6 linked regions of the Canis lupus familiaris genome follow. Each later gene encodes a partner of the first gene's protein in a complex. Links are inferred from orthologs where the notes say so. Each region holds a gene or a part of one and is shown on either strand. Other genes may lie near its edges.

The links.
Region 2: CDK2AP1 (region 1) and MTA2 share a complex: the UniProt entries of both Homo sapiens proteins name them as parts of the nucleosome remodeling and deacetylase (NuRD) repressor complex. The link is inferred for Canis lupus familiaris from reciprocal best matches to the Homo sapiens genes CDK2AP1 and MTA2.
Region 3: CDK2AP1 (region 1) and CHD4 share a complex: the UniProt entries of both Homo sapiens proteins name them as parts of the nucleosome remodeling and deacetylase (NuRD) repressor complex. The link is inferred for Canis lupus familiaris from reciprocal best matches to the Homo sapiens genes CDK2AP1 and CHD4.
Region 4: CDK2AP1 (region 1) and MTA1 share a complex: the UniProt entries of both Homo sapiens proteins name them as parts of the nucleosome remodeling and deacetylase (NuRD) repressor complex. The link is inferred for Canis lupus familiaris from reciprocal best matches to the Homo sapiens genes CDK2AP1 and MTA1.
Region 5: CDK2AP1 (region 1) and MTA3 share a complex: the UniProt entries of both Homo sapiens proteins name them as parts of the nucleosome remodeling and deacetylase (NuRD) repressor complex. The link is inferred for Canis lupus familiaris from reciprocal best matches to the Homo sapiens genes CDK2AP1 and MTA3.
Region 6: CDK2AP1 (region 1) and CHD5 share a complex: the UniProt entries of both Homo sapiens proteins name them as parts of the nucleosome remodeling and deacetylase (NuRD) repressor complex. The link is inferred for Canis lupus familiaris from reciprocal best matches to the Homo sapiens genes CDK2AP1 and CHD5.

What each region holds. Positions count from the first base shown.
Region 1 is NC_049247.1:6,517,405-6,522,258, reverse strand, and holds the end of CDK2AP1 (cyclin-dependent kinase 2-associated protein 1), read right to left. Parts: exon of another isoform or gene 4,854-4,854; intron 4,037-4,853; coding exon 3,910-4,036; intron 828-3,909; coding exon 760-827; 3' UTR 15-759; downstream 1-14. UniProt on the Homo sapiens protein: Inhibitor of cyclin-dependent kinase CDK2. Also acts as a component of the histone deacetylase NuRD complex which participates in the remodeling of chromatin.
Region 2 is NC_049239.1:54,562,309-54,566,571, reverse strand, and holds the end of MTA2 (metastasis-associated protein MTA2), read right to left. Parts: exon of another isoform or gene 4,145-4,263; intron 4,129-4,144; coding exon 4,031-4,128; intron 3,893-4,030; coding exon 3,753-3,892; intron 3,303-3,752; coding exon 3,074-3,302; intron 2,876-3,073; coding exon 2,786-2,875; intron 2,484-2,785; coding exon 2,365-2,483; intron 2,263-2,364; coding exon 2,114-2,262; intron 1,927-2,113; coding exon 1,761-1,926; 3' UTR 1,097-1,760; downstream 1-1,096. UniProt on the Homo sapiens protein: May function as a transcriptional coregulator. Acts as a component of the histone deacetylase NuRD complex which participates in the remodeling of chromatin.
Region 3 is NC_049248.1:7,680,644-7,685,928, forward strand, and holds the start of CHD4 (chromodomain-helicase-DNA-binding protein 4), read right to left. Parts: upstream 3,704-5,285; 5' UTR 3,546-3,703; intron 2,967-3,545; exon of another isoform or gene 2,796-2,966; intron 2,680-2,795; 5' UTR 2,602-2,679; coding exon 2,502-2,601; intron 2,226-2,501; exon of another isoform or gene 2,094-2,225; intron 1,800-2,093; exon of another isoform or gene 1,716-1,799; intron 1-1,715. UniProt on the Homo sapiens protein: ATP-dependent chromatin-remodeling factor that binds and distorts nucleosomal DNA. Acts as a component of the histone deacetylase NuRD complex which participates in the remodeling of chromatin.
Region 4 is NC_049229.1:73,159,476-73,164,935, forward strand, and holds the start of MTA1 (metastasis-associated protein MTA1), read left to right. Parts: upstream 1-1,770; 5' UTR 1,771-1,913; coding exon 1,914-2,325; intron 2,326-2,786; coding exon 2,787-2,854; intron 2,855-4,911; coding exon 4,912-5,005; intron 5,006-5,460. UniProt on the Homo sapiens protein: Transcriptional coregulator which can act as both a transcriptional corepressor and coactivator. Acts as a component of the histone deacetylase NuRD complex which participates in the remodeling of chromatin.
Region 5 is NC_049238.1:34,455,677-34,460,530, reverse strand, and holds part of MTA3 (metastasis-associated protein MTA3), read right to left. Parts: intron 3,939-4,854; coding exon 3,852-3,938; intron 1,126-3,851; coding exon 979-1,125; intron 1-978. UniProt on the Homo sapiens protein: Acts as a component of the histone deacetylase NuRD complex which participates in the remodeling of chromatin.
Region 6 is NC_049226.1:60,511,361-60,516,037, reverse strand, and holds part of CHD5 (chromodomain-helicase-DNA-binding protein 5), read left to right. Parts: intron 1-477; coding exon 478-567; intron 568-1,215; coding exon 1,216-1,353; intron 1,354-1,623; coding exon 1,624-1,732; intron 1,733-3,530; coding exon 3,531-3,663; intron 3,664-4,094; coding exon 4,095-4,290; intron 4,291-4,677. UniProt on the Homo sapiens protein: ATP-dependent chromatin-remodeling factor that binds DNA through histones and regulates gene transcription. May specifically recognize and bind trimethylated 'Lys-27' (H3K27me3) and non-methylated 'Lys-4' of histone H3.

The sequences.
Region 1 (4,854 bases):
ACCCACACATTATACAAATTGTTAATGAAAATAAGCTTTATTACATCAAGTAATAAATACATACAAAGATGCAAACAGTTTTAGTCATTTTCTTCCAGATGTTTGGATCAACGTACAGGAAAAGCAGAACTGAAATCCACACAGTCTTAGTAGGAAAATTTTGCTGGGGGAGGGGGAGTTCTTGTTAGGTTAGGTTTGGTAGGTTGCTCTTTCTTCTGTATTTATAACTTGTGCATTTTTTAAATTGACCTCAAAGCACTAATAGTCATGCAAGCAAATGCTTCATTAAGCTCAAAAGAAGTTACATTAAGCAGAATCCACACCATGTGGCAAACGTATGCACTCAAAACAAAACCCTCAGAGTTGTATTAGCTTATGAAAGATAATGTAAAACAATCTGAGTAACTTAAGTGTACTCCAAAAAGAGGATGAAAGGAGCTGGGATATCTGCTGTGAGATAGGGATCTTTTACGTGCATCTTTCAATGCTTAAAAAAAAGAAAACAAAAAAATAAAAATGCTTAAAAAATAAAAATAAAAATAAAAACAAAAAACCCTGGGTAATTCCTATATAAATGTAAATCCTAGTCAACTGCAAAGTATTTCTCAATCTCAGAGCCTCATGAACCATGGGAGGGACACGGGAAGGAGAAACCAAACTGTTACCATTTTGAAAACAAGAGTTTCATCTGAACATGGGAGATGAGCTGTAACTTCTGGTCTTGGAAGAAGATGGAAAACCTTCCACGCTGATAGGCAGCTAGGACCTGGCATTCCGTTCCGTCTCAGCCAAGCACTCTCGAACCAGTCCTCTGGCGTGAATGATGCCTGGAAGAGAAGAGGCTGAGAATCATCCAGCAGAACCCATTCCAGAAGAGGAAGAGGGCCCCCCTTCACAACCCAGCTGAAAAACCCTGGCCCTGGAAAGAACTCAGGACCTGCATCCAAACCACCCCGGGATTCCAGCGGTTTGGAAACACACCAGCATCTCGTCCCTCCTGAAAGGCCCTTGCCTCCTAGCCAAAACTCCTCTTCATGGCTCCCTAACAATCCCTTCCTGCACACAAAGGGACAACCAGCAAGCTCTCTCTGCATGTCATGCTGTCAGAGTACGGAAGATGTGTCTCCATCCGCTTTCGTTAGGCCGGACCCACTCTGCAGAGTCCATGACTTCAAATCATATTTTTCTCTGGTTTCTTCATATTCTAAGTTCTAGAAAGGGCTTGTCCAATGTCCAGGCTGCACAGTTAGGATGCAAGACTGCTCACCTAGGAGTGCCTGCATGGCTCAGTTAAGTGTCTGCCTTTAGCTCAGGTTATAACCCTGGGGTCCTGGGATTGAGCCCCACATTGGACTCCCTGCTGGGTTGGGAGCCTGCTTCTCCCTCTCCCTTTGCTGCTCCCCCTGCTTGTGCTCTCACTTCCTGTCAAATAAATAAAATCTTAAAAAAAAAAAAAGGACTGCTCATTTATGTTCAACCGTATCCGTTAGGACGTTGCCCTCCAGGTGCATAGAGCATCTTCTGCTCTATTACTCCCCTACCCATATTTTATCTCTGGTTTGGTTGTTGGGTTTGTTTGCTGTGTTTTTTTCTTTTTGTTTTTTGTCATGGCCTTTAGTGAACGCCATGAGATACTTATCTCATTTTAATAGACATCAGGGACGCCTGGGTGGCTCAGCGGTTGAGCACCTGCCTTCAGCCCAGGGCATGATCCTGGAGTCCCCGGATCGAGTCCCACATCGGGCTCCCTGCATGGAACCTGCTTCTCTCTCTGCCTGTGTCTCTGCCTCTCTCTGTGTCTCTCATGAATAAATAAATAAAATCTTTAAAAATAAATAAATAATAGATATCAAAAATCTATTCCCTCTAAGAGATGACTGCCGGAGGGCACTGTGAATGACATCCCCAAAGTCACGCAAGCATCCACATCTCACAAATCTTATCTCTGAGCTTCAGAAGACTTTTTTCTGGAAAGGGCCAAACAGTAAATCTCAGGCTTTGCAGGTCACATGGTCTCGGTCACAACTACTCAGGCAGCCATTATATAAGCAATGGGTGTGGCCATATTCCAATAAACCTTTATTTATGAACACTTAAGTTTGAATTTCAGATAATTTCCACCTGTCACAAAATCATTTTCCACCATTAACAACTAAAAACCAAGGACGCCTGGTGGGCTCAGCGGTTGAGCGTCTGCCTTCAGCCAAAGGCGTGATCACCCTGGAGTCCAGGGATCAAGTCCTGTATCGGGCTCCCAGTGCAGAACCTGCTTCTCCTTCTCCCTATGTCTCTGCCTCTCTCTGTGTGTCTCTCATGAAAAAATAAAATCTTTAAAAAAGAAAACGACAAACTAAAAATCATTCTTGGCCTACCAGTTACTGTTTGCTGACCTATCAACAATGCACCTGAGTCCATCATACCTTTTACAACTCTTCTTCACCTTGTTAGGACATAAACTTAGCTAACTTGTACTTGGCTACTAGTTAGTGTGACTGGGTGACCAGCTGTTCATGGGACACATGTCCCAGAGTGGTCATTAGACATATCCATAGGCTAACCTGAACCACTGGTTCTTTTTGGTGACTGCAAATCGCCTGTTCGACTTCAAGGTCCAGTACCTTTTTTTAAAATTTTTTTTAAAGATTTTATTTACTTATTCATGAGAGACACAGAGAGAGAGGCAGAAACAGCAGAAGCAGACTCCATGCAAGGAGTCCAATATGGGACTCAATCCTGGGACTCCAGGATCACGCCCTGAGCCGAAGGCAGACGCTCAACTGCTGAGCCACCCAGGTGTCCTAAGGTCCAGCATCTTTCCAGGGGTTCTCACTCAGGTAACCATGACTCCAGGTGCCAGGACTGTCTTGCTTCCCCTGACTCCAAACAGCAGCCCAGATGCAGAGTGACGCCCACCGGCCCCCCAGGGGTGGGTCGGGGTTAACCCCACCTCTATCAAGCCCTCTCGGGGTCCAGCCTCTGTCAGCTCCCCTCCCCCAGGTCAGGCCTTACTTCCTCAGTAAAAGGAGTAAAAGCACCCGGCCAGCCAGCCAATCTGTCCATGAAAGCTTGGTAAACAGCAGCAAAGCCCACTGCTATGGGCAGGAGCCTTGCCTACCACGGTAGGGTCACAGCCTCCGCAGCAGCCCCTCTTTACATCCCAGGTTAACTTCAGACTTGCCTCTCCAAACTTCTGAATAAACGCCAGATCCTTTCTGAAATTAAATTCGTACCTAGGCCACTGCTGCTCCGAATTGCCACCTTCTAAAACAGAAATCATCTTCTTCCCTCCACCCCATTTACTTCCTGAGGTAGCAGCCGATTTCACCTCCCCCTGGAATCAGCTGGTCAGTCACATCTTCACATGAGTCACTGGTTTTCTGTGACACCATATTCCTACCCCCCCTTCCATCCTCAATCATGAAGGAATTTCAGTGTTCCTGCTCTCCCTTCCCAGACTAAGATAGACCCATTGGCCTCTTGGGCTCCGCTCCAAAGAGCTGACAACAGAGGGCAACACAGGACCCAGGACCTGGCTACTTCTTGTCCCTGACCCACTCAGAGAAGGAAGCCTGGTGCATTTGTCCTCCTGCGGCTCCCTGGGACCAGTACCAGCCAACAGGAGCAGAGCAAGCAACAGAGAAAGCTACAGGATCTGGCCTGTAAAGATTCTGTTCTTAAAGCCCATGGACCTTCCCAAGGAGCACGCAAAGCCTTCCCGTCAGATCCCAAGGACAGTCTACACCCCATGACCGGCCCATTCCTGCCCCTGCTGATGCTTCCACAGATTAACCAAACAGGAGCCCCACGGGGCATAGAGCATTCACGCCCCCCTCTGGAAACCTCTCACAACAGTTAGCACCCAGCAGGGAGGCAGCACCCAGCAGGGGGTGTCTGGATCCCGCTACTTACCTCGTTTTAGTCTCTCCATGGCGCTCTTGCTCCCTGCATAGGTGGGTCTAATCTCTTTCCCCAACTCTTCAATGATGGCCAGCAGCTCAGCATATTTGCTTTGGGGTACCTGGCTGTTCCCAGTTCCCTAAAATCAGAAGAAGTTTAAATGGATTGAACCCTATCCTGATCCTAAGGCCACGGTCAGGACCCTACCACATGCCAGCCACAGCGAGGGCAGGGCACAGGGAGAAGCCCACCGAGAGGCAGTGGCTGGAGGCAGGGCAGCCTGGCCTAGGTTCCCAGAGCTTCTGCCTCTGCTGGAACCGGCCACACGCTGAGAAATAACCACTGACCAGAAACCTGGGCCTTTCTACTGTCCTCCTACACTCAAGGAAACCACTAGCAGCCTCCAGAAGGTTTTAATCATCTTAAATGAGTAAAAGGACTGGTTTGTCTCAGCAAGTACTGGGTGCTTCCTAGGATCCAGGTGGATGCACCATCCCAGGGGAATGACAGTGGACAAGCTGTGGGCCATACCGTGGGGTCTGGAGAACTATAAATAATTGCCAAAGACCATCTGGACAGAATGTGTTTCCACTTACCCATCCTCCCCCTGCCAGCAGGGCCCACCCCAAAAAACCTGTTTTTCTATAAGCCCTCCCCCTCCACGGCCCAAGTATGCACCCAATGAGTGAGGCTGGGTCCCCGCAGCCCCCCCACAAGGCCCTCGCCTGCTCCTTCCTCCTCTGTTGCCGCTGTCTCCTGGCCTCCAGGGCCTTTCTCCTGTCCTTGCCCAGCTCCTCAGTGCCCTCCCAGTGCCGCCTCTTGGCCTGGTGGTCTTCCCGCCACCGCTGCTTCTTCTGGCGCTCCCGCTCCTGGGACAGCAGGGCCTGGTGGGGCATGGCCAGCCATCCCCCACTCCCAGAGACAGCCTCCATGGCAACCTCAGAAGGTGGCCACGTT
Region 2 (4,263 bases), on another chromosome or scaffold:
AGCTCTGTCCCCACCGGGCAGCTCGCGGACTCCGCTCAACCACGGCCAGATCGCTGCGGTCCCGGTGAGTCACGTTTCCCTCCTGCATTAGTTGACTGCGTGGAGTGTTGCCATGAGGAGCCGGAGCCACCGGCCCACTTCAAGGCATGCGGCAGAACCTGCGCTGGTGGCAACTGAGCCAAGACCTTGGAGGGAGAAAATGCTACTTTCCCCCTCTCCCCAGACTGGTGTAGCGGGCAGTTCCTGATGCTGTCGAGGTGGAAGCTCAGAGTGGGGAGAGCGAAGTCGCTGGGGAGGCCCCAGGGGCCGAGAAGGGAGCTGGAGAGGACTCTCAAGGGTCTGAGCAGCTCCTGCTGTGGTTATCAGTCCGCAGCTCTAGACTGTGGAAAGCACACTGGGCCTGAGGCAGACAGCTCAAGGTCTGTGACCTTAAGGAAGTGCTGATTGCTGAGGCTGTCCCCTATCTTCAAGGAAGTGCGTGGAAGGAACTCATAATAGGCTTAATTCTTGTTCACTCTGTAAGGGTGCTCCTCCTGTTGGACCCTGCTCAGACTTCTGTTTCCCAAACCCAAAAAGGCGGGAGACAGCTCTAGAGCGTGCCCTCAATATCAAGGCAGGTGCTGAGGCTGGTCTTGGGAATCCCTGAAGCAGCAATCTGCAAACATACCACAGGGCTGGGTGGTAAGAGTGCAGCACCCTGCCCCCCAAGTAGGCTACATCTTGCCCTGATCTCTAGCAACTCCCAGAATTTCCTAAAAGAGAGGTTAAGGGTTGGAAAATAGAAGAAAAAGCATCTTCCCACCTCCCTTCCTGTGGAAGCCACCAACCATCCAGGGTCCATCCATTCCAACCGTTCTCAATCTGTGTGCCAAGAGGGAGCCTGGGTTCCAGCACCACAGGGAGCTGGGGAGCAGTTTGGGTCCCACGAGAAAGCTAGCCGGAACAGGCTGCCTAGCTCCTAAAGCTGTTCCCAGGCAAGCCCCATCTGTATCTCCTTTATCACCCATTGTCCTTTATTTTTCCAATTTAAGTCACTGTCCTCCCCCCACACACACACCCACACACACACCCATGGCAGAGAACAGCTGAGCCAGGAGAAGCTGAAGAAAACAGCTTTTTATTTGTTACTATAAGAACCAATTACAGAATCCGAGGTTAAAAAAATGGACAAAAGATCTTTATTTCTGAGAATTGGCGTACAAAAGGCGGAGGGGGCACAGGGAGGGAAGGAATAGAGAACATGGGTTGGGGTTGATGCCAGCTTAGGGGCCTCAAACTCCAATTAGGAAAGTCCGGACACCGGACAGGAAGAGAAACCCCCATTAGGAAAAAAAAAAAAAAAAGGATAGACATGGCAGTCATGGCAGTGCACGCCCCCCTCCCCCTACCACCACCTCCTGTCAATTTACCCTTCCCCTCCCCATCCCGTTTTCACAAAGGGAGGCAAAATTTTTAAAAAATTAAAAAACCCTCCCCCCAAAACTGTCCAAGACGACTGTGGGTCCTAACCCCCAAAACAGGTTAGGTTCCCACAGTGGGTCAAGTTCCTGCAGTGTGCCCTCCACCACCAGAAGTGGAGAAAACGTGGAAAGGGGACAGGCCTCCAAGTGGTAACACCAGAGGGCGCCCAACCCCTCCAAGGACAAACACTTGCTCCCTCCCTCACTCCTCATTCCCTTTGCTACTAGAGGGGAAGGGAGGTTGGATGCCCTGGGCACCCACCCTCTGGCTTTCAGCCACCTCCCTTCCCCCACAGATGCTCAATCCTCCAGGACAATGGGCTCATTGGTGCTGGCAGGATGTGGGGGTGCAGACAGTGGGACTGGGGGCCGCACTGCAATCAGTGGTGGCTTCACTTTCAGGGGCAAGTTGGGTCGGCGGGCAGCTCGCCGCATTTCCAGATGGGTCAGAGCCTTCCGCAGGGCCCTGGCCAGGAAAAGGAGAATAGAATAAAGAAGGCTAAGGCTCTCAAGGTGAAACCCCACGTTCCACAATCCAGTTCTGCCTTCGGACCCATTCTTTCCTGACATCCCCATCCCACACCAATACTATTATCCTTACCCCCCAAAGTGGGTTCTCAACTTCTCAGCCCCTCCCATGGTGGGCTCTGTACCTGGTATCCTTTGTGGCCACAAACACCACAGGATTGGGGGCATCAGCTGGGTTTAGTTTCTGACGCTTGGCAACTGGCTGTGAGCTTGAGCGAATCCCTGAGGCAAGAGGCCTTCCATTGGCAGAAAAGGGGACCCCCGCTCCTGCCATCTGGAAAGGGGGAGGGGGCACACAATGAGAGTGGACTCATGGATCCTTATCAGACATAAATGCCCACCCAATCAGCCTTGCCCACTCCCGCTGTTAACTCACAGTTTCATAGGCCCGTTTCACCATAATACCCCCCAGACCCCGGTTCTGGGTCAGCTGGTTTCTGTTGATTGGGGTCTTGGTACCCCGAGGTGTTTTTGGTTTCAGAGGTGCCTGGGCCACTGCCAGATTAAAAAAAATAAGAGAAAACTTAGAACTTTCATGCTTTTTATTCTCAATGTAGTTTCCCTGGGCATCCCCAAAGGCAGTGATGGTGGGAGGGATCTGGCAAGCAAGGATCACGTGAGTGTGATCTTAGCATTCACTATGGATAGCTTATGAAAACCATTATTAACATACAAAAGTACCAGCTGTTAAACTATTAAACTAAATCTCTTTGGATTTTGATGGTAAAAAGATGACTGTGAGCCTGAAACCACGTGAGCCTGAAACCACCTAACGGGTTCCTCATACCCTAACCTACCCAGATCTTTGACGATGGTTGCCAGTGGTAGCCGCACCAGAGGGTGAATCTTCAATGGAGTCTTTGCAGCCTTAGGAAGTCGAATGGAGCCTGAAGAACAAAGAGGAAAACTCGAAAGGGCTTCGCTATTCAGGCCTCTCCTATGGCCAGGAGCCACATCTATTCTCCCACCCAAGCGCTGTGGCCTGGTATCCCTGTCATTAAACATCCAGAGAAACACTGGTCTCTGCTCTGCTTTCCAGCCAGAGTATCCTGACCTGCCACTAACCCCACCACTCCTGCCCTTACACTCTGCCTTGATGGCATTGGCATTGATAGGGGCATAGGGTCGTCGGGCGGCCCTCCTCGGCTGTAACAGGTCCCTGCACATGCGTCTGGCCAGTCGGGTCAGCTTTGTGGTCTGGAGCAGGAATGTTTGCCTGTTCTTAGCCAGCAGCTTGGCCCGGTTGGCGCTGGTCGTATAGGGGGAGAGACTTTGGGCTTCAGGTCTAGACAGATGACCCCTCGAGTGTGGCTCCTGAAAGAGACATGGGAAAAAGGGAGAACACAGATGGTCACTGAGGCTCCCTTTTTTCTGTTCTCTGCAAAAAGCAATTTATTCCTGCCTGAAATCTTATTTAGCATAAGATTTTATTTATTCATGAGAGACATACAGAGAGAGAGGCAGAGACACAGGCAGAGGAAGAAGCAGCCTCCCTGTAAGGAGCCTGATGTGGTACTCGATCCCGGGATCACACCCTGAGCCAAAGGCAGACGCTCAACCACTGAGTCACCCAGGCATCCCTCCTGCCTGAACTCTTTATCACCATCCCAACCTACCAGTCTCCAACCATCACGGGGCACCCCCTCCCCACCCATACCCACATCAAACCATCACCATGGAAGGGGTTGGGTGCTCTGGCCTTCCCCTAAAGCTCACATCGATATGTTTACTGCTCTGCCCTGCCTGTTCCCCACCACTCCTTACTGTTGTGCCCCGAGCAGCCCCCTCAAGCTGGGTCGGGGTCTTCAGTCCCCCATATTTCTTCCAGTAGATCCAACAAGAAGCACAGAGGCGGCACTGCATGTTGGGTGGGCCCCAGGCATACCACTGGGCAGACTGTGTGGCTGTAGGAGCATGGAGAGAAGGGGGCAGTGTGGGAAAAATACTACACGAGAGTCCCTCAGGTCCTTGGGCCAGAGAGGACCTCACCTCCCCCCCCCCCCCCCCCACCCACAACATCCCAATCCTCCCATGGAACTCACTGTGGCAGCTCTCACAGGTCAGGCCCTTCTGGAATCCAGCCCCATTCATGCCAGGTTTCGAGCCCACAGAGATGATCTGGTTAGGATTTGGCTTAGTACTAATGGGAACAGTGTGGGGAGAAACCAGGAACTGGTCAAGGTAGAGAATCCATTTCCATCTCATCTCTATCAACATTTGACTCTTTGATCCTGACTCCTGCCCACTGCCAGTCACTGAGCAAAGCATGAGTTGG
Region 3 (5,285 bases), on another chromosome or scaffold:
GGGGGTTGGGTTGAGAGAGGTAGCCGAGGAAAGACTACCCTCACAAGACTTCCCAAATTGCTACCTGGCCCCAGGTCCACATACCACTTCTCCTAACACCTATTTTGGGATGACACAGTTCTCAACAAGCCACTTTAATGTCCTAGGCAAGGAAACCCAAGACAAACATGAAGGGTAATACCACAAGAAAGACTGGGTTACTGCCTCAATCATAATTATTTTTCCAATCATCAGAACTAAGATTTAACAAAAACTCAGTGGAGCTGTGGTCACAGCATACAACTTTCTTGAATTTTTGATACCCAAAAAATTTAGCTTGAGGAATGGGAGGCCAGAAGTCTCCACAACTCAGTTCCCTTCTCACCACCTACCTCCCCAAGAGTCCAAGCCATAGACCCTAAACTACCTCTCACAGATTAGAAGTAGCCACCTATCCAGCATATGTGATGTTCACACGAAGAAAAGAAGAGCAGCACCTGGACAGTGCGGGACAATATGCTTCCTTCTATTCGCCCCTGACTCCCAGAACTAGCCCTAAAATGCTTCTGGCTCCGCCCTTCCTGAGCAAGGCAGATACTAGGGAATATGAGACATTAAGCTTGACAAAGCACCATCAGCCTCCCCCCACTCAGCCCAGGATCAGGCCAGGCATATGAAAGCCCCTCCCATTCCCTTGGGAATGGAACACCAGCTTGGATCTCACCAGAAAGAACCATTTTCTTAAGGCTTTTTCAAAGCAATCCCCCATGTCATCCCCCTCACTAATAAGTCACATCTCTCAGTTCCTCATCTTCCTCACCTCCGTGAAAGCTGGACACCAGGACAAACCCGTGCAGGTGAAGGGAACACCCATCCACATAAGACCCCCAAACTTCTCAAGCAGATAATGCACAGAGACAACATTCAAAGTGGCTGAGACATAAAAGAAGATTTGGGAAAGGGGCAGGAATGGGGTGTGGCAAGTGGAAAAACTGGGTCATGCTACAGCTTGGGGCAGAGTTCACCCTGGGAGCCTGCACTGCTCCCAATCAACACAGGGGCAGCCCCAGCCCAAGGGGCCAATGGGAAGCCAAAATGTGGAACCAACATTGGCTGGACAGCACTACTACTTCTCTCGCCCCTCACAGAGAGAGTCAGATCATGTTACCAATGCTGCTACCCCACCCCCACCTTGGGCAACAGTACAGAAATTTGCCACCTTGGTCTACACAGTGATGAGACTCGAGCCTAAGTTTCTCATCCCAACAGCTGAAGACTCAGCAACAAGACTGACCCCTTTACTAAGTGGCCTCAGTTTCAAACTAAGACTTGAAGACTTCCAACTTAGAAAACACCAAAATGTAGGAACATCTTTCCCAGACCTCAACTTACTGCTACAGCTAAGGAGAGAGAAGGCAGAAGTGAAAGATGTTTGATGGGAAACAAAAACACGACCAGCAGGCTCCAGAATTAAAGCGAAAATAAAGATAAGCAGAAGGATAAAGAAATGACATTTAAAAAAAAAAAAAGAAGCTTGAAAAAAAGGTCAAGGAAACAAGTAGGTGACTTAGCTACGGGCTGTGAAAAAGGAAAGACAGACAAGAGAGAGACATCCACTCAGATGCATGACATCAATCACCATTTGAGAAGAGACAAGAGCTTCTCCAATCAGGCAGGATGATTACAACCATACGGGTTTGGCCAGTCCCAGGAGCCACCCACAAACACAGAACAACCCCCAACACACCTACACAAACACTTCATGACACCAGCCCAAACCCTAGGCTCCCTGCACCAAAGCAGAAGCCTCTAGGAAAAAAGTCTGTATCATGTCCATTTGCTATGGGAAGGGGGGGGGGGGTTGCCCAGGGTGTCACCTCCCTTCTTTTGCCCCTCCCTAGTATATCCTTCAGGGTGTGACATCCTACCCCAAGCCCCCATCATTTCCCCATTTGAAACATTCCAGCAATCTGCCTGCTAAAAGCTCTCTACATCCCAGCTGAGGAGCGCAATTCAAACTTCACAGTTGAGACATCACAGAAAACCGGTAACTGATCAGAAGCTAAAAATAATCAGATAGAGAGTAACCAGCACTCCCTCTCTCCTTTCCACAGCAGCAACCACAGGATCCTGCTAACACAGATGCCGGGCTGGTCTTCAACATGCAATCCTCGACACCCACCCGAACCCCCACCCCGCCTCCAACGGGTCCCAGCCACCTGCATTCCTCCGTGGACCCACACAAGGTAAGGTCTCCAGACCAGAGGGCTCCCTCAACTGGGAACTGCATAGCATTCCTTAAAACAGACAGTGCAGCAAGCTTGCATCTCGGTCCCAGAGCCCAGGAGGCACATGGCTTCCACCCCCTCCCACAAGAGCTCCGCAGAAGGGAACCACTCCCTTCGGATGCCCTCCACCTCAGACTCTGCACGGAGAGAGAGAAACTCAACCTTGCCTCACCAGAGTCGCTAGGGAGGGCCCAAATGCCTCCTTCCTGCCCAGGGCCCTTGGGGAAGATTTACCTGGGTGGGGTGGGGGCAGGCTGTTGTTCAAAAGTGCATCCATATCTTCCTCCTCGCTGCCCGCGGAGCAGGGGGACGGGGAGCCCAGGCCCGACGCCATCCCCTTCCGCTCCCGGCCAGGGAATTGGCCCAGCTGCTCCTGCCTGCGGCCTGGGGCCCTCTACACTGGCCCGAGTCACTGTGCGGGGGAGGGGGGGAAGAAAGAGAGAACAGTCAGTGACGCGCACTGTCCCCCTCCCCCACACCCACCCGCTCTTTCCGCCCACCACCAAAGCGGCCCCCCCAACCCCAGCCACCCTAGCAGGGCACCCGAACCACTCAGGCTGAACTTAGTTCCACACTCCTCGAGGGCAGCCCGGAAGCCGGCTCCCCAACTGGAGCCCCCCAGATGAGCGGGAGCGACGCCCCCGAGGGCAGGCTGGTGCAGGCGTGGGGAGGGGGAGAAACCAGGCTGGACCGAGCAGGGTATGTCGGGGGAGGGGGGTCCGAGTGGCCGCGGCGCGGGGGGGTCGGGGGAGGCGGCAGGCAGCGAGGCGCTCGGGGACACAAGGTCACTTGGGGGTGGGGGGGCGCCTCCCTGCGCCTGGGGAGGGGCCAGTCCCCAGACAGGGCAGCTCTCCAAAGGCTGTCCTCTGGGACAACTCAGGTTCTCCGGAGGAGCCACGGGGCCGAGGGGGCGTGGAGGCTCGGGCGCTCCAGGGGGCTGGAGGCTGGGACGCGGGGGGCGAGGGAGCGCCCACCGGGCAGGGGGCCGGGCCACGTGTCCCGGGGGGCAAGTGAGCAAAGGGCGAGGGGGCGGGCGCCGGGCATTGTGGGAGACCCAGCCCGAGGTGGGAGCCGCGGGGGGCAGGACTCGGGCCGGCTCAGGGCGGGGGCGGGGGGGGCAGGGCGCCCTGCAGGCAAGGAAAAGGAAGGGTCGGCTCCTCTGGGCAGGGGGCGGTCCGCGAGTCCGGGACATCTGAGGAAGGGGTGGATGGAGGGATGAGCTTGGGGGCTGGTCAGGCTCAGAGGGGCGTCTCTTTAGGAACCCCGCGCTCTCCTCACCCCGGAGCCGCCGCAGGTCGCGCTGGGTCCGGCCCGGTGTCACTCCCGCTCCGGCTCCTCCTCGCCGCGGCCGAAGGGGGGAAAATGGCTCCGGCTCCGGCGTCGCCTCTTAAAGGGCCCGAAACACCGGCCGGGAAATCCCACCGCACAGGCCCCGCCCCCCCACGGACAGCCCATAATAACCTCAACCAACTCCAACCCCCCCTCCACTACCGCCACCCTCCTCCTTAGGTCTCCCGGGCAACCCCCGCCCCCTCGTCGCTCCGGCAACCATTGGCCACGCCCCCTTCGAGCGCGCGCGCGCGTGTCACCCGGGCAACCACCCACCTCCGGCCATCCCATAATACACACGGACACCCCACCACCACCACCCCACACACACATACACTCCATACACCTATATGCTAAGGTTGTTGACATATCATAATATTGCAGACCTTTGCAACTAACCCTTTCCCCACCTCAGACATCCCATAATAGCCATCCTTTGCCAACTTCTTCACTCTTGGCCCTAATGCTAACATCCCATAATAATTCGTCACCTCTCCTTCCCCATGGCCATCCCATAATAAGCACCCCTCCCAGCACTTAAGCCTCACAGCCCATAATACTCATTCCCCATCCCCCACAGACATCCCATAATAACCACTCTTCATCCACCCCCAGTTTGATATCCCATAATAGTCAGAAACAACGCCCCCCCCCCCCCAGTACTACAACGGACACTTCGGCCTCCTCCCACACACATCCCGTAATAATCAGTTTCCCACTTTTACACTGACATCCCATAATAACCAACCCCCTAGCCTGAGCTGCCCTCAGCCCCTGCAGACTAGGGTCTAGATCCTCACACCACCACCCTCAGCCTTCATACATGCGTTCTAACTCCACAGCCCATAGTAACCTCTTCTCTGTCAAAGAGATATCCTCTAATGATCGGCAGCCCCACTGTCACCCTACAGATGGACATCCAATCTCCTTTCCTCTAACGCTGGAAAGATATCCCATAATTTTACTCTCCCACCCACACCTTGATATCCCATAATAATGTCAAGGAGCCCGAGGTCCACCAGACATACTCTAATACTCCCAGCACATCCCATAATGCTTCATCGCCAGCCACCACCCCTATACCTTTCCAGCCAGGCATCCCATAATATTCACATTCATACCTCCCCCACCTCCTCAGGCCATCAGGTCTATTCTAACACCCAGAGCCACAAGGTTGTGAAGCAGGCTGCTACCCGCACTGCCCTGTGCCCACCCCAACTTGTACATACCTTTATCCCTTTCTGGGCCAAAGCAGTATCCTGGCATAAAACCTCTTGATGTCTAGGGCAAGCCCTACCTTCCCTCAGACCATTTCTAGACTCTCAGGAACTGCCAGTCAACCTAGGGCCCCACCCAATCCCACCCAAATCCAGTTATTCTCCAGATGCTTACCTCCAGCTCCAGCTCTTAAATATTGAGTAAGACCAGCCAAATACCAGGCTGACCAGATGAACCATTTACATAAAGTTTAATTCACCCCACAGCTTCCCCTAGTCATAATAAACTCCAATCTTTAGAAAGGAGTCTTTAGCCTACTTCTCAACATTTCAGCAGTCCTTCTCCCACCTCATCCTACCTCTCCAGGTCAGATGGTGCAACACACCTGGGCCACTCCCATGGATGGACATCCCACCATGATGTGACATGAGGATATATATATATAATATATCATGTTCATTTAACAGATGT
Region 4 (5,460 bases), on another chromosome or scaffold:
CTTTGTTGATTTTTATTTTCTTGCTTGCAGTTGAAAGGGTTTACTTTTCTTTTTCTTTCTTTCTTTTTTTTTTTTTTTTTTTGAATTTTATTTACTTTAAAGAGAGAGAGAGGGATCCCTGGGTGGCGCAGCGGTTTGGCGCCTGCCTTTGGCCCAGGGCGCGATCCTGGAGACCCGGGATCGAGTCCCACGTCGGGCTCCCGGTGCATGGAGCCTGCTTCTCCCTCTGCCTGTGTCTCTGCCTCTCTCTCTCTCTGTGACTATCATAAATAAATAAAAAAAAAATTAAAAAGAAATAAAAATAAAGAGAGAGAGAACACAGGGAGAGGGAAAGGGAGAGAGAAGCAGAAGCAGGCTCCAGGCTGAGCGTGGACCCCGACGTGGGGCTTGACCCCGGGGCCCCAGGATCGTGACCTGAGCCAAAGGCAGACTCTCAGCCCACCACGGTGCCCCTGAGCCTGATTTTTTTTTTTTTTAAGATTTTATTTAATTTATTCATGAGAGACACAGAGAGAGGCAGAGACCCAGGCAGAGGGAGAAGCAGGCTCCACGCAGGGAGCCCGACGTGGGACTCGATTCCAGGTCCCCGGGATCACGCCCTGGGCTGAAGGTGGAGCTAAGCCGCTGAGCCCCCCGGGCTGCCCGAGCCTGATTTCTTTAGGGCACAGGGTTGCCTGTTTGTCTGCAGGGAGCTCGGGGGTCTGCGTCTGCCCAGCGCGGGCCCCGTGTCACCTGAGCCGTCAGGCAGCGGCGCCGGGAGCCCCCTCCTACCCAGCTCTCGCTCACTCACCCTCCGGGTCTTTCCTTTGTCACCCTGGCCTGAGGTTGATCCCCTTACTGGCTGTTTACACGAGTTCATTTTTCCTCATTATGCTGGTTTTTGCTCATCATCTACCATCTTTTTGCTTTGCGTGTTTTCCCATCTACCAAAGCTTAACCCACCCGTCTCAGGCGTGCAGGTCTGAATTGTGGGGAGCACATGCAGGGGTGCAACTGGCGGCTGGGACGCAGCCCCGTGCCCCCCAGCCCCCTGCCTGAGCAGGGATCCTCAGAGCCGCATGCAGGGCCGGTGGGGCTCCTCCTGGGTCGTGTCCAGTGTAGACTGCATGTGAATAACAGCTTTGGTTTATTTACTTATTTTTTTTTAAAATAGATTTTTTACTTATTTATTCATGAGAGACACAGAGAGGGACAGACACAGAGGGAGAAGCAGGCTCCACGCAGGGAGCCCGATGCAGGACTCGATCCCGGGGCTCCAGGACCACGCCCGGGGCCAAAGGCAGCGCTAAACCGCTGAGCCACCCAGGGATCCCCGACAGCTTTGATTTAATTGGTTTTTTGGTTTCTTTGGATGAAAGCTTTAAGACCAATAGGGCTTTATATTAAAACTGCTCTTTTGAGCGACAATTCACGTGTGATAAAATTCACCCGCTCACGAGGCGTACGGTGTGGCCGCGGTCTGTGTTCAGAGTGTTTCCACTGCCGTCAAGCCGACCTCGAGCCCGTCGATGGCCCCCTCCCGTAGAGCTCTCTTCCCCCCCAGCCCGCGAGCGTGGCCCTCTGAGCCCGGCAGCCCTGTTCCCTCTGGGCTGTTAGTGCTGTTGCTCTTTCGTTCCGTGGAGCTCTGTGGGTGCCCATGGCCGCGTCCCATCCGGCTGTGGCCTCGGGCAGCACAGGTGAGCCCCCCCCAGCAGCACAGGTGCGCTCCCTCCTACAGTATAGGTGAGGACCCCCCAGCATAGTGAGCCTCTCCTGCAGCACGGGTGAGCCTCCCGCAGCAGCATAGGTGAGCGCCCCCATCTCCCTGCAGCATAGGTGAGCTCTCCTCTGCAGCACAGGTGAGCGCCCCCCCCCAAGCACAGGTGAGCCCCCTCAGGTGCCTGCAGCAGGTACACAGCAGCAGCAGGTGCCAGATGCTTGCTGGGGCCTCTCCACACGGTGGAGCGGTAGGACCTCTTGAGAGGACGGAGCTGGCCTGGGTCCTGGGGCAAGATCTGTGCTCCGAGTGGCCCTTTGGCTGTGTCCCGGCTGACACGGGCCTCTTGCAGGCCTTCCCTGGGGCACGGGGGACAGCGCGGGGCACCCCTGCTGGGGACTGCAGCCTGGCCTCGTCCTGGCACCGAGTCACCCGCAGCTGCCCCGAGCTACCTGCTATATCACGGCGGCGGCCAGGCTGGCAGCTGGGTGGCCTCCCGGCTGGCCTGGGCTCCGTGGGAGCCGGCCAGCCGCCCCCGTGGGCCTCTTGGGAAATCCCGGGTGCCTGCCAGCCTCCTGGGGACCGATCCCAGGCTGCTCTGGAGCCGGAGGCGAGCTGGTGCCCACATGGTGTGCTGGGGACCTGGCGGGCGGTGGCGGGACCTCGTTCCTCTGGCACCTGACCCCGTCCGCACCCCCGAGAGCCCTGCCTCTGCCCAGGGAGCCCCGGCCTCCTCCGTTCCCTGCCCGGGGCGCGTGGGGTGGGGGGGCAGGTGCAGGCGCCCGGCAGCCCCTCGGAAGCTGTCCTGGGGGAAGCTGCAGTCCGGCTCCCACAGCGTCTGCGCGGGGCAGGGGGCGGGGCGTGTGGACCCTCTGCCCGGGACAGCCCCCTCCGTCCTCTAGGACCCGTGCCCGGCACCCACCAACATGTCTGGGTACCTGTCTGTGCACTAAGGTGGCAGGGGCACCGTGTCCTTCGTTCCCTCCTGTTCCCTGGCCCCTAGAACTGGGCGCGGGTGTGAGGGGGGTCGGGGCTCCCCTGGTCCCCGGGCTCAGTGCTGCGGGGTGACGCACTCTGTTCCTGTTTGCAGACTACGTCTATTTTGAGAACTCCTCCAGCAACCCGTACCTGATTCGCAGGATCGAGGAGCTCAACAAGGTACGTGCATGGGGGGGGGCGCGTGGTGGGGGGGGGCCGCCCGGGGCTTCAGGGCCGGCCCCAGACCCTTCGGTGGCTTTGTTCCCGTGCCACACGCCTACACCTGGGTCCTTCTCCTTGGAGAGCTCTCCGTGGGGTCCCTGTGGCGGGTGTGCTCTGTGGGACAGGGGCGCCCTGTGGGGTCCCCCTGGCCGGGGTCTCCCCGCCCACCTGCTGCCTCTGCCTCTTCCCGGCTCACTCAGGCCCCTGCCGCCCCGCTCTGGGCCCTCGCAGCCGCCCCCCCTCCCGCCAGCCTCCCGCTCTGAGGCGCCCCCGGCAGCACTGGGGAGAGGCAGGAGTGTCCCTGCGGCCGTGGAGTCCCTGGCCCCGGAGCACCTGTTGTCCCCGACTGGCTGTGCTCCGTGAGGCCAGTCCTCAAGGGCTGCTCTCCTGGACCCCGAGCACGGCAGCGTGGCTGGGCATCCTTGGGACCGGCGGGCTGGGGGCGGAGGTCGGGGTGCTGGTGCTCCACGGAGCAGACTGGTGGCAGCCGAGCCCCGACCCCTGTGCCCCCGTTCCCGAGACTCCTGCGCAGCATCTGCCCGGGGGAGGGGGTGCCCCCAGGCCTCCGCTGCACACAGCGTGTGGGGCTGGTCCTTGCAGCCTGGCAGCTCCTGGGAGGCTGGGCCAGGTCTGGACGCGGCAGGGCGAGGGCAGTGACCAGGACGCTGTGGGGCCACCTCCCGCGGGTGCTTGCTGGGGGAAGCTGCCCACGGCCCGCCCGGGCAGCAGGGCCAGCAGGGCACGGGGTGGGCATCGGCTCGGGAACACATGGGGTCGGGCCCGCGACTCCAGTGAGCGGTGGGGAGCGTGGCGGGGGAGCCGGGGGCCCACTGCTGGGCTGGCCGCGGGCAGTGGGTCTCGGGTGGGGCCAGCACAGCCCCTGCCCCTCGCTTTGGCTGTGACGTGGAGAGGGCAGGTGGCACCACCTGTGGCAGCCTGCAGGTGACGGGTCTGCACGGCAGTGGCCACAGCCCGCCATTGGAGCGCTCGGGGTGGGGTCGATGGGCGTCTGCGTGTGAGCCTGCAGCCCCCTTCAGTACTGGGGTGGGGCGGGAGGGACCCTCTGGCCCCCGCAGCCCGCCTCCCCTGCTGCCCGGGGACCCGGGGCAGTCCCGGCTGGGGCCGCTGGGAGCTCGTTTTGTGGGCCCTTCCCTGCTGGGGCCACCCTGCCCGGAGCCCCCAGGCCCCCAGGGCCCCTTGGGCACAGGAGAAACGGCCCCGAGGGTCAAGTCCCCGGAAGTCGGGGCTCGTCTGGGCGCAGCTCTGGCGCAGGGCGGGGGCGGCAGCTGGCTGCGGCCCCTGAGCTCCCGGCTGGTCACCCGGCGCTCCCCGCCCCCCCACCTCTCTCGTGTCTGCTGAGCTCTTCGGAGGTCCTGGAAGGCGTCTGGGCGCTGGCGGCCTCCCCGGGGGCCGGCGGGGCAGGGGCACCGACTGCTTGCTCCAGCCCCTGTGGTTCCAAGGAGGGCGCCAGCGGGGAGCCCCGCGCAGACCCCCGCTGAGCAGGGAGCCCGTGGGGCGCGGCCCCGTGACCCTGAGGTCACGACCTGGGCTGAAATTGAGAGGCGGCCGCCTGACCAGGTGCCCCCGTGGCTGCTTCCAGTTCTGATGGGGAACCAGGCCCCTGGCGCTGAGGTCTGCCCAGCGGTGCGACAGAGGCCTTGATCCACCCCAGGGGTGCTGGAAGGTGGGGCCCAGGGGCTGTGGCCTTTCCAGCGTCCGGACGTCCACCAGGTTCTGGTCCTGAGCGAGCAAGGCCTGGGGGAGGGACGCAGGTCAACAGGGGGACCTGGCTGGCGGGCCAGGAGGAGGGTGCACCGCTGGAGGGCTCAGGTCCGCCGAGCGCCCCTCCCCGGTCAGACGTGCCCCGGCCCACTCGGCGTCAGCGCTCCCTGGGCTTGGCTTCTCCCGCGACCTGCCGGCCCTGGGGTCACTCGAGGCCCCTCTGGGCCGCCCCTGCTGGCAGCCGCCGGCCGGTCGGGGGCGTGCGTTGCTCAGACCCTGCCTTGCTCTTGCAGACGGCCAACGGCAACGTGGAGGCCAAGGTGGTGTGCTTCTACCGGAGGCGCGACATCTCCAGCACCCTCATCGCCCTGGCCGACAAGCACGCCAGTGAGTCTTGGCCTTTCCCTGGGGGCGGGGGGCAGGGGCGAGGCCTCTGTGGCTCCGAAGGTTTCCTGACGCTGGGTGTAGTGTTTTCAGAAGCAAAGTCCCTGTTTGTAGTTCGAACCTGAGTCTGGGAAGTGTGGGGCCGGAGGGACTCGCGGCGGCTTAGCTCGAGCCCCGGGATGTTGTTCCTGGTCAGCGGCCAGCGGCGCCGCCCTGGGGACTGGCCTGGAGCAGGTGGGGGCGTGTGCTCCGGGGCCCGGGCCGCTCAGAGCCCCCGTCCTCTGGGTGGGACCTGCCTGCACCCGGGCTGAGGTTCTGGCCTCCGTGGGGGCTGCCCCTGGGCCCCCAGCTGCCTGCCACACGGCCGTCCAGCCTGGGGACACGCGCCGTTCTCATGGGTTCATCAGGTCATCAGGCGTCCTCCTTGGGTGGGCGCAGGCCCCACCTGTGAGCCTCCT
Region 5 (4,854 bases), on another chromosome or scaffold:
AAATGCAAACTAATCTCCTCAGTCTCAATTTTTTATTCATTTTGATATCACTACAACCATGAAAAGTCATACTAAAGGAAACCAACCATGGGAAACTATTACTAGAAGGTCTATTTCACATCCTTGCTCTAGGGCCTCATTATAACTAATTTACTGTCACTGAAGGAATTTAGAGGTCCCGGAGACATGGAAAGCCTGGAGAGAGTTTCACTCGTAAATAAATGCCAACATTTAAACCATCAAGACAGCTTCAAATTCTAGGACTATTGAAATGGACAATATATACTGCTGGGATGATTTATTATGTTTGTGTTTGTAGTCCGAATGGGAAGATAATTCAATTCCACCTGAGGAGTCATTCTGTGGCCAAACCCCAAGGGAGGTACTTTGGATAAGAGGTGATATTTCTTAGCTTTTCCATTTCAAACAAATTATTATTTCTGTATTGAAGACGTCACCCAGGCAATTCCCTTCATGACTTGTAGCACTCTTGAGCAATTAAAAAAATTTTATAAGGTGAAAGAAGTAGCTGACAAGTGCCAAATCCAAAATGAACCACAGAACACCCAAGAACCCCCAGAGATCACAGTTGCCTCTGACTTAAGGTGAAATCAACACTTCTGCTCAAGAAAATGTAAAGGAGCAGTGAGCATGCATCCCAGCAAGAACATTATCACCCACCAGAGTCAACCTGATAAATACAGACTTCCTCTCCAAACAAGCATCCTCACAGGGAATGTGAACAAAAGGGTCCCTTCTGAGGAGATAGAGAAATATCACTCAGCTAAATGTCTTCACTGTGGCACACAGCAGCCTTCCCTCTTACCCCTTTACCACACATTCAGTTTAATTAGAGGGTAGGTAGACGAACCCATTTGCAACACATCTTGGATTTGGCAGAGGATATGCTTAGAGCAGACAAGGGCAGAGAGGCCCTGGCCTATGAGCTCAGCCCCCAGAATTCCTGGGCTTACATACCATCCAGGCCATTGTGATGACTGTAGTTCCTTTTCCCCAAAATGCTCAGAGATGTGTGATTCGGGGTGGTTAGCATCCGCTTGGTAGTGGGGGTTTGCAGGCTTGGTGTAGATCGAATTACATTAGGTTTCTTCGAAGGATGGATCTCTGGCAGGGGGAGAAAAGGTTTCTCAACTCAGGACATGGTAATAAAAATCTCTGTGTGCACTTACATCGCCTAATAGGCACACATCTTACTTCTTAATGAGGTGAGAGTCCGTTCCTTACGAGCCAGTCTGTTTTCCCAAGGACTTGCATAATGAATCAGCTTCAAGTGCTGTTACCATGGCTTTACTTATCAAAAGTGAGCTTGCTTCTCCCTCTGCTAGCTGGAGCTCTGAGCTTCATGTTGGGAGTACAAGCAACAACAACAAAACAACAAAAACACCACTTCCACTTCAGAAGATCACTTAAGCACAGATATACTAAGGGAATTAGGCAACTAACTCTTCAAAGTTTTAGAAATTTAAAGGTTATCTGGAGAAATGGCCTCAGAGAAAGCTAACTCTATGCTCTATCAAACCAGAAACGCAGCATGCAGCATGTCTAGGGTGTGAGAGATTTCTGGAAAACAGGATTCCTTCTCTGACTCTACAAGGAGAGTACAGGACCAAGGTTAATTACTACTAGTCCAGAATATCTTGATATAGATGAAACATGCCACCAAACTCCAAATTCTAGACTCAAGATGTAGTAGAAGAAAAGCTTTGATGGAGGGTATATCACAAAACTGTGATGTGCATGTGGGATATGTGTGTTTACATGAAGTATGTTGTTGTCAGTCATATAGCCCAGAATTACTTGTACTTTTTTGGATAAAGCAGACGGACAGAAATTACAGTCTGTAGGAATTGGACTTAAGGATCTCAGTCTGTTACTCTTACTGGGCAATGTCTTTTCCAAAATTAAACCTGCTCTCTGATTCTAAACCACTCTCTCTTCTCAGGGAGGGCCAGGCAATCAGCCTTATTTATCGAAATTTAAGAAAGGCTGTTAGGATTGTTAGAATTACTATATCTTGGTCTGGTCAAAATTCTACCCTTATCAAAATTTAGGAATGGATCAAGTGCTAACCAACATATAGTGCTGATTTTTTTTTTTTTTTTTCCAACACGGCACTGAAACTTTGTTAACCCCATTTTTCATTACAGCCTCCACACTATTCATCCAAACCAGACCACCCACCTTTGGACTCACTGAAGCCTTTGTGCATCAAATTCTTTAGGCCTCATAAAGGGAAAAATATTCTTTTTTCCTGTTTTTCTATTTAAATACTACTTATTGTTCAAGGTTGAGATCAAACACTGCTTTCTCCACGTAGGCTGCCCTAAATCTCATCAGAAATAACTATTCCTTCTTCCAAGTGTCCAATGAATATTACCTGTAATTCTTTCATAGGAGCTAATCCTTTGCTTAATTGTCCTTACCTGTGTGCTTTCCCCACTAGAATAAAACTTTTGAGGACAAAGTCTTACTCATCTTGATGTTCCCCCAAATCACTATGTTTACTATGTCTTATACATAGTAAACACTCAGAAATATGTGAGGTAGAGGTGTGGTTCAGCTAGTAAGTAAAGCATAGCTTTGGGCCTCCCAGGTAGGTACAGAGACCAATTTGCCCGCAGGAGGAACACAAAATTACCCACAGAAAGACTGGCTAATATGTAATGTTATATTCTATTTCTTATGATCAGAGACTTGTCCATGCATGGAGGGAAGGGGCTTCTAGGATTAGGCTCTTCAAGGGAATAGATAGCAAAATTCAAGGACTTGGTCACCATGACCTAGGTCCTGCCTATGATGATGAGGTGATATTCTCGGGACTACTGAAACAACTCTTCAGGCTCTGAGAAATAAAACAAGAAATAAAGTGACCAAGTAAAATCAAAGAGGGAGCTATGAGCTTCTGACTTTTGGATGCTCTGATGAGGAGTAGATAATATACCAATTTAAGGCTACACTTTGACTTTTAAGTGTTTCTAGAGTCTGAACGCTTCATAACTGTACATCTTTCTGACAGAGCAATAAGCTTCAATGCAACTTTGAGTACACCTTTCACTCTGAGAAAATGAAAATGCAAGGATATTAGAAGCACTAAAAACATGCTATTATAGTTTCTAGGGATATTAGGAACCATTTTAGAAATAATTATTTTGTAAATTAACTTAAAACTTTGCAAAACAGAACAAAACAAAAAGGGTTATTACCTATTGATTTTTAAAAATACTATTTCTTAATTGTGATATTTCAACACAAATATGGAGCCAACATCTTTGACTAGTTCTAAGTTAAATAACATGGTAAAAATCAGAAAGCAATACAAATGCTTCCCTTTCAAAGTAACTTTAATTGGTACATCAAACCTATAAATATTTTTTTAAAGGTAGGTTAGAGCCAGTTTGATCTCATTAAAAAAAATAAGCCAAGTGGAAGGATCTAAATTGAAACATTAAGAATATTCATCCTCAAAAAAAAAAAAAAAAGAATATTCATCCTCTAATAATTTAGTGATTCTTTCCTCTTTTTGCTTAGTTTCTATTTATATCCACAAATGTTATATTTTTATTTAATGATTTTTTTTGGAAAAAGTAAACATATCCATAACTCTGTATACATGTTGTGTGTATATGTTTTGTAATAACAAATAAAAGCTTTTGGAAAAAAAACCCAAAAGCTTCTGAAACAAAATAAATGGACTATACATGTGAAAGTATCCAATTTCAGCTACTTGAAAGGCTTGGATTTAGTTTAGGTATGACAATTTAGAATAGCCAAATACTTATAAGGTACAGAAATTGTTTTTTGAAATTTTCCTTCTGTAAGAAAATACCCACCTAAATACCCAATGATACATGCCAAAGGTTTCCTAGTGCTTTTGCTTTTCAGTGGACTTCCAGATAGTTCGGCATGTCTGTCTGCATCTGAGGAGAGAAGGAAACATGGAGACAACCAATGAGGCTGATTTCTCTACCTATTCTATACACACTGCAGAAAAAAAGGTGCCAGTGGAAGACAGTGCAAAATATCCACCAGATTCCTGCATAATTTCCTGTAGGGTTGGAGGAAACTGTTTCTAGCTCTGGTTCCAAATTACTGAATGAAGGATGTACCTGGAGAACACTCACTTAAAGCCTCATCTGAGTGCTGCTAACACACGTCTTACACGTATGTGCTTTCTTTCTGTGTGACCCCATTTGAAAAAGTGGAAGTATGCTTCCTTTCTAGGCATGGCATTATTTCCTCAAAGTAGAAAAAATGTCCATGCAGGATGAGGTGAAAACAGACCTAATTTAAGATTAATCTGGCATAGAACACAAAAATGACAAAGCTGACAAAGGCAACACACTTGGCCACCCCTGACCTAGAGGAAGTAAGTCTCCACTGAGAAGTCTTAATCTATCTTGATTAAACTCAATTCCATTAAATGAGAGCCTCACAGGGCTAAAAATGGGTCATTGGTTTTATTGCTAGTTTTCCATCTTTCACACCCTACTATGATGTCAGCAGTGCTGAGTTTTAAGAGGTTGCCTGTACAGACAGGGTGCCTCATCTGTTAGAACAGGAAGATACTGTGGGAATGGTTATTAGTGTTCATTTATCAAGCTCACCTCATACCCTACTATATGAGACACTTTGGACAGAGAAAAATAAAGCATACAACACACACTCTCTCTGCATTTTAATTAGCTGCCATTAGGATGGGTGAATAGATGTGGAACAAGGCTGCTTTCACACTGAGAAGCTAAGTTACAAAAACAGAGTTTGAGGGGACCACACACAAAAAATATTGAACTGTTTTTTAAATTTGCATAAAATTTAACAGAGTAGTTTTAACAG
Region 6 (4,677 bases), on another chromosome or scaffold:
CCAGGCTTCTTCCTGGCATCTGCTCCCCACCTTCTCTTTATGGCATCGACAATTTCCTTTTCTCCTTGTGAGCTCACTGTGTATTTTTCCAAGGTGATAGGTTTTGCCTGACATTTCTGGGTGTTTGTAAGAGGGTTTTGATTTAATGAAGTCCTGCTGTGTTACCAGAACTTTGAGACCTCTAGTTATCATTGTGGTAGGGAGGATATTGAGACTGTGCCTTGAGGAGTTTGGGGGTGGGGTACTGCTGGGGTAGGGGTGAGGGGAAGGGGCAAGCCGACGGTGTCAAGGGGGTCCATGCCCTCTATGCCTGCCTTCCCGGAGGATCCCTCCCTGATGGCACTGGTTGGACTCCTCAGTGAAGTGACAGGTGGGATTCTGTGTGTGGCTGAAATGGAGTTGGAAAGTCAGCAGCCCAGAGTCCGTTTTGTCTGTCTCAGACCTTTCCCTACTCTACAAACACCCTTTGTCTTGCAGAAGAAATGCTTCCTGAGAAGGAGAAAATTCTGGACAAGCTGGAGCTAAGCTTGATTCACAGCAGAGGGGATGGCAATGATTTCAGGCCAGGTTTGGGGCTCTTGTGTGTACTCTGTCCTATGTCCCTTGGTCTCTTGAAGGCACCCTCTCTGGACCTTGCTGGGCCTCCTGCAGCTTCCATGGGTACCACCATCTACCCATTACTCACTTGGCCCAACTGAAGCTGGTGGATGGGAGCCTGAGCCCACCAGCCCCGGGAGTGGGAGTCAGGGTGGGAGGAGATGCCTTCCCCTTTCCTAATCCCTCCCATGGCCCCAGCTATCACCAGAAAGGAGAACTTGTCACAGAGTTTGGCCTGGAGCATTTGGGACTCCCATCAGAGACTTTATGTACCTGTAGGTGCTAGAATGTTCTGGAACACTTGTCACATCAGACCCCCCAGGACAGAACTGCTGTCCTTTAATTTAATATACACTTTCACAGTGCTGTGCCCCGTGTTCCCAGGTCGTCTTGAGTGAGGGAGTGGCACCTGGGCCTGGAATCCCCATCTCTGCTCGGGACAGAAGGAGGGGCTGCTTGCTTGTCTGTTTAAAATCCCTCTTGACAGTGAGCCCATGGAGGATGAGGAGATAGGGTCCCACTTGCCTTTGGGTCCCCAGGCCCCAGTGCTTGGCACAGAGAGGTCCCTGGGTAGCACCTTTCAGATGGGTAAATGAATATGGGTGTGTTCTCCCGTAGATGACACCAGAGTGGAGGAGAAGGAGCCCATTGAAACACAGCAAAATGGTGACAAAGAGGATGATGAGGAGGGGAAGAAGGAGGACAAGAATGGGAAGTTCAAATTCATGTTCAACATTGCAGATGGGGGCTTCACAGGTATTGCGGTGAGGCGGAGGGCAGAGACCTAGTGTGGGTGTTGTCACAGTCTTCCTAACTATGGGAGTCCCAGGAGTCTGGGCAGATGGTTATTTTATACTAAAGTGTGAATGCTTGATAAAAGTGCATTATATAACCTTTCCTGGTAACTGGAACACTGAGCTTCCACGGGTGGGGAGACGGTGGGTGGTGAGAAAGAGACCTTCCTATGCCTGCTTCTGTGAGGGACTGGGGGGCACCTCATTCTGCTCCCCTTGGCTGGCTTCCCAGAGCTACACACACTGTGGCAGAATGAGGAACGTGCTGCTGTGTCCTCGGGGAAAATCTACGACATCTGGCACCGGCGTCATGACTACTGGCTGCTGGCGGGCATCGTGACGTATCCTTGGCCAAGCCAGGCTGGGCAGGACTCTGGCCTGTTCCTCTGTGGACCTCAGGGAGGGACATGGGGTGTGTGGGATAAGGAATCAGTAGCCAGCGCTTCTGATCAGGTGCCGAGGACCCTTTCCTGCTGGTGATGGTGATGATGGTGATAACCATAGCTGCGGCTCATCCCTTTATGCTCAGTGCTCACTCCATCTGCACAGCAGCCTTCCAGGGGGCATCGTTGTTGCCCATCATACAGGGGAGGAAACCATGCTCAGAGAGGCCACGGGACTTACCCAGGGACACACAGCTAATAAGCCATAGCCTACCTGTCTGACCACAACAAATACCCCTAACTCCCACCCGGGACATACTTCACCTCCTTCCTGTGATGACGCCTGGAGGGTGCATCACCATTTGTGGTTGGCTAGCATTCATTCATTCAGTTTTGATTGCTCGTGTCCTATGTGCCAGGCATGGAGGATGCAACCGTGAACATTCCCCAGTCCCTGTCTCCCTGGGGCTCACATCCTGCTGTGGACAGATGGCGAATGCTGTAAGTTAGCCAAGTGTGGCATTCAACAGAACATGATAGGGCAGGCAAGGAGCAGGGGGAGTGCTGGGGGTGACCGTTGCCTTTTCTCATAAGTAGTCAGGGGTCACATTTGAGCAGAGACCTCCCAGAGGCAAGGGGAAAGCCACACAACTGCCTGCGGAAAGCCCCTCAGCAAAGGTGACCTTCATGACAGCCTTGGAACTGGCTGGGAGTGTTCTAGAACAGTGGTCAGCAACCTTTCCTGTAAGGGTCCAGAGCACAAATATTTCAGGCTTTGCAGCGTGATTGCTCTGTCATTGTAGCAAAGGCAGTGATGGACGATAGTGATCCAGTGAGTGTGACCACGTTCCAATAAAGGTTTATTTAAAAAAAATTGGCCGGGGGCCAGTTTGGCCTATGGATCGTAGTTACGATTCCTGTTGTGGAGGTGAAGGTGTTTGGAGCCAGTCTGCCTGGGTTCCAATCCTGACTCTGCCCCTTGCTCACCGTGAGACCTTGGGCGAGATCATTTTATTGAGTTTCCTTGTTCAGTTGATGGCTCCAGGGGAGGATTGTTCCTTGTTCCTCGCCAGCTTCTGGGGCAGCTGTCAATCCTTGGGTCTCTTGGCCGCGAGGTCACGTGGCCATCTTCCCTGGGTGTCTGGGTGTCTGGGTCCAGATTTCTGGTTTTTTTTTAAGATTTTATTTATTTATTTGAATTAGCATGAGTGGGGGGTAGGGGCAGAGGAAGAGGGAGAAGCAGACTCCCCGCTGAGCAGGGAGCCTGACGTGGGGCTCCATCCCAGGACCCTGAGATCATGACCTGAGTGGAAGGCAGATGCTTCACTGACGGAGCCTGCCAGGTGCCCTAGATTTCCTCTTATAAGGAGACCAGTCACTGGATTCGTGCCCATCCTAATCCAGCGTGACCCCTTCTTAACTGGATTGCAGCTACCAAGACTGTTTCCGAACGAAGTCCCAGCCCCAGGTGTGGGTGTTGGGACTTGTTAGGATGAAAGGGTTCAGTCCCCAAAGCTCTGTTGCTCTTGGGGCTCCTGAGGGCCCCTGCTGGTGTTTGTTGATTGTCAGGTTGTCATTGTCAACCTGCTCACCTCTTGGCCAAGGTTGATGACCGACTGTCCAAAAGCACACAGCCTGGGCTGCTGCAGCTGGGATGCTGGCACCGGCTGGCATCGGCCTGGTCCCCACTCGCTCTTCCCTTCCCCCATTCCCTGCCCTCCACGGCTGGGTTTGCCCTTAACGGAGCCACACCCAGGCATGGCTATGCCCGCTGGCAGGACATCCAGAATGACCCAAGATATATGATCCTCAACGAGCCCTTCAAGTCCGAGATCCACAAGGGCAATTACTTGGAGATGAAGAACAAGTTTCTGGCCCGTAGGTTCAAGGTCAGTCCCAGCAGGGCCAGAGCCTGCGGGGCAGGGGTGGGGGGCTGTTGCTGCAGGAGGACAGGCTGCATGAAGGGGGCCTGGGGCAAGGCAGGACTGACTGAGCAGCAGCCCGGCAGCCCCCTCCTCATTTCCGTGGTCCTGGGCCAGGCTGTCCACCAGGGTTGTCCTGTAGTCTGCCAACAGTGTGCTAGGTCCTTGATCTGGGTCAGGCCCCACTGGGTGCGTGTCCCTGCCCCGGGGAGGATGGTGCAGAGAACCCAGATTGCGGAGAGTTCCGGGGCTGGGAGCTCTAAGAACAGCAAGGGTGGACTGATGAGCAGAAGAGCAGCTTCCCTCCTTCCCTTTCACCCATTCCCAGGCCCAAAGGGGTGGGTGCTGGTGGACGGGGGGTCGGGCTGGCACTCAGTCCCTCCTGCCACATCCCCCAGCTACTGGAGCAGGCGCTGGTCATCGAGGAGCAGCTCCGGAGGGCTGCCTACCTTAATATGACCCAGGACCCCAACCACCCAGCCATGGCCCTCAACGCCCGCCTGGCCGAGGTGGAGTGCCTTGCTGAGAGCCACCAGCATCTGTCCAAGGAGTCCCTTGCTGGGAACAAGCCAGCTAACGCTGTCCTGCACAAGGGTGAGTGAGCCTACTTCCTGACGGTGGGCCTACCTGCCTTCCTCCTGCCCTGTGGATCCTTGGCCTTGATGAGGGCACTATGGAGCAGGGGCCAGCCCCATGAGCCAGTCAGGGAGAGTTCAGCCCCTCCAGTCTCTGGACTCTGTCTCAAGGCCCTGGGCTGGGGGTAGGTAACACAGAAGTCTATTTGACTTACACTCTTGCTTATGAGGCCCTGACAATATGCTTTAAACATGTTATCTCTTTAATGCTTGTGATATCCTAAAGTGGTAAGGTTTATGGCCCCATTTTATTTTATTTTTAAAGATTTTATTTACTAGAGCACTAGAGACAGCAAGCACGAGTGGGGGGCAGAGGCAGAGGGAGAAGCAGACTCCCCGCTGAGCT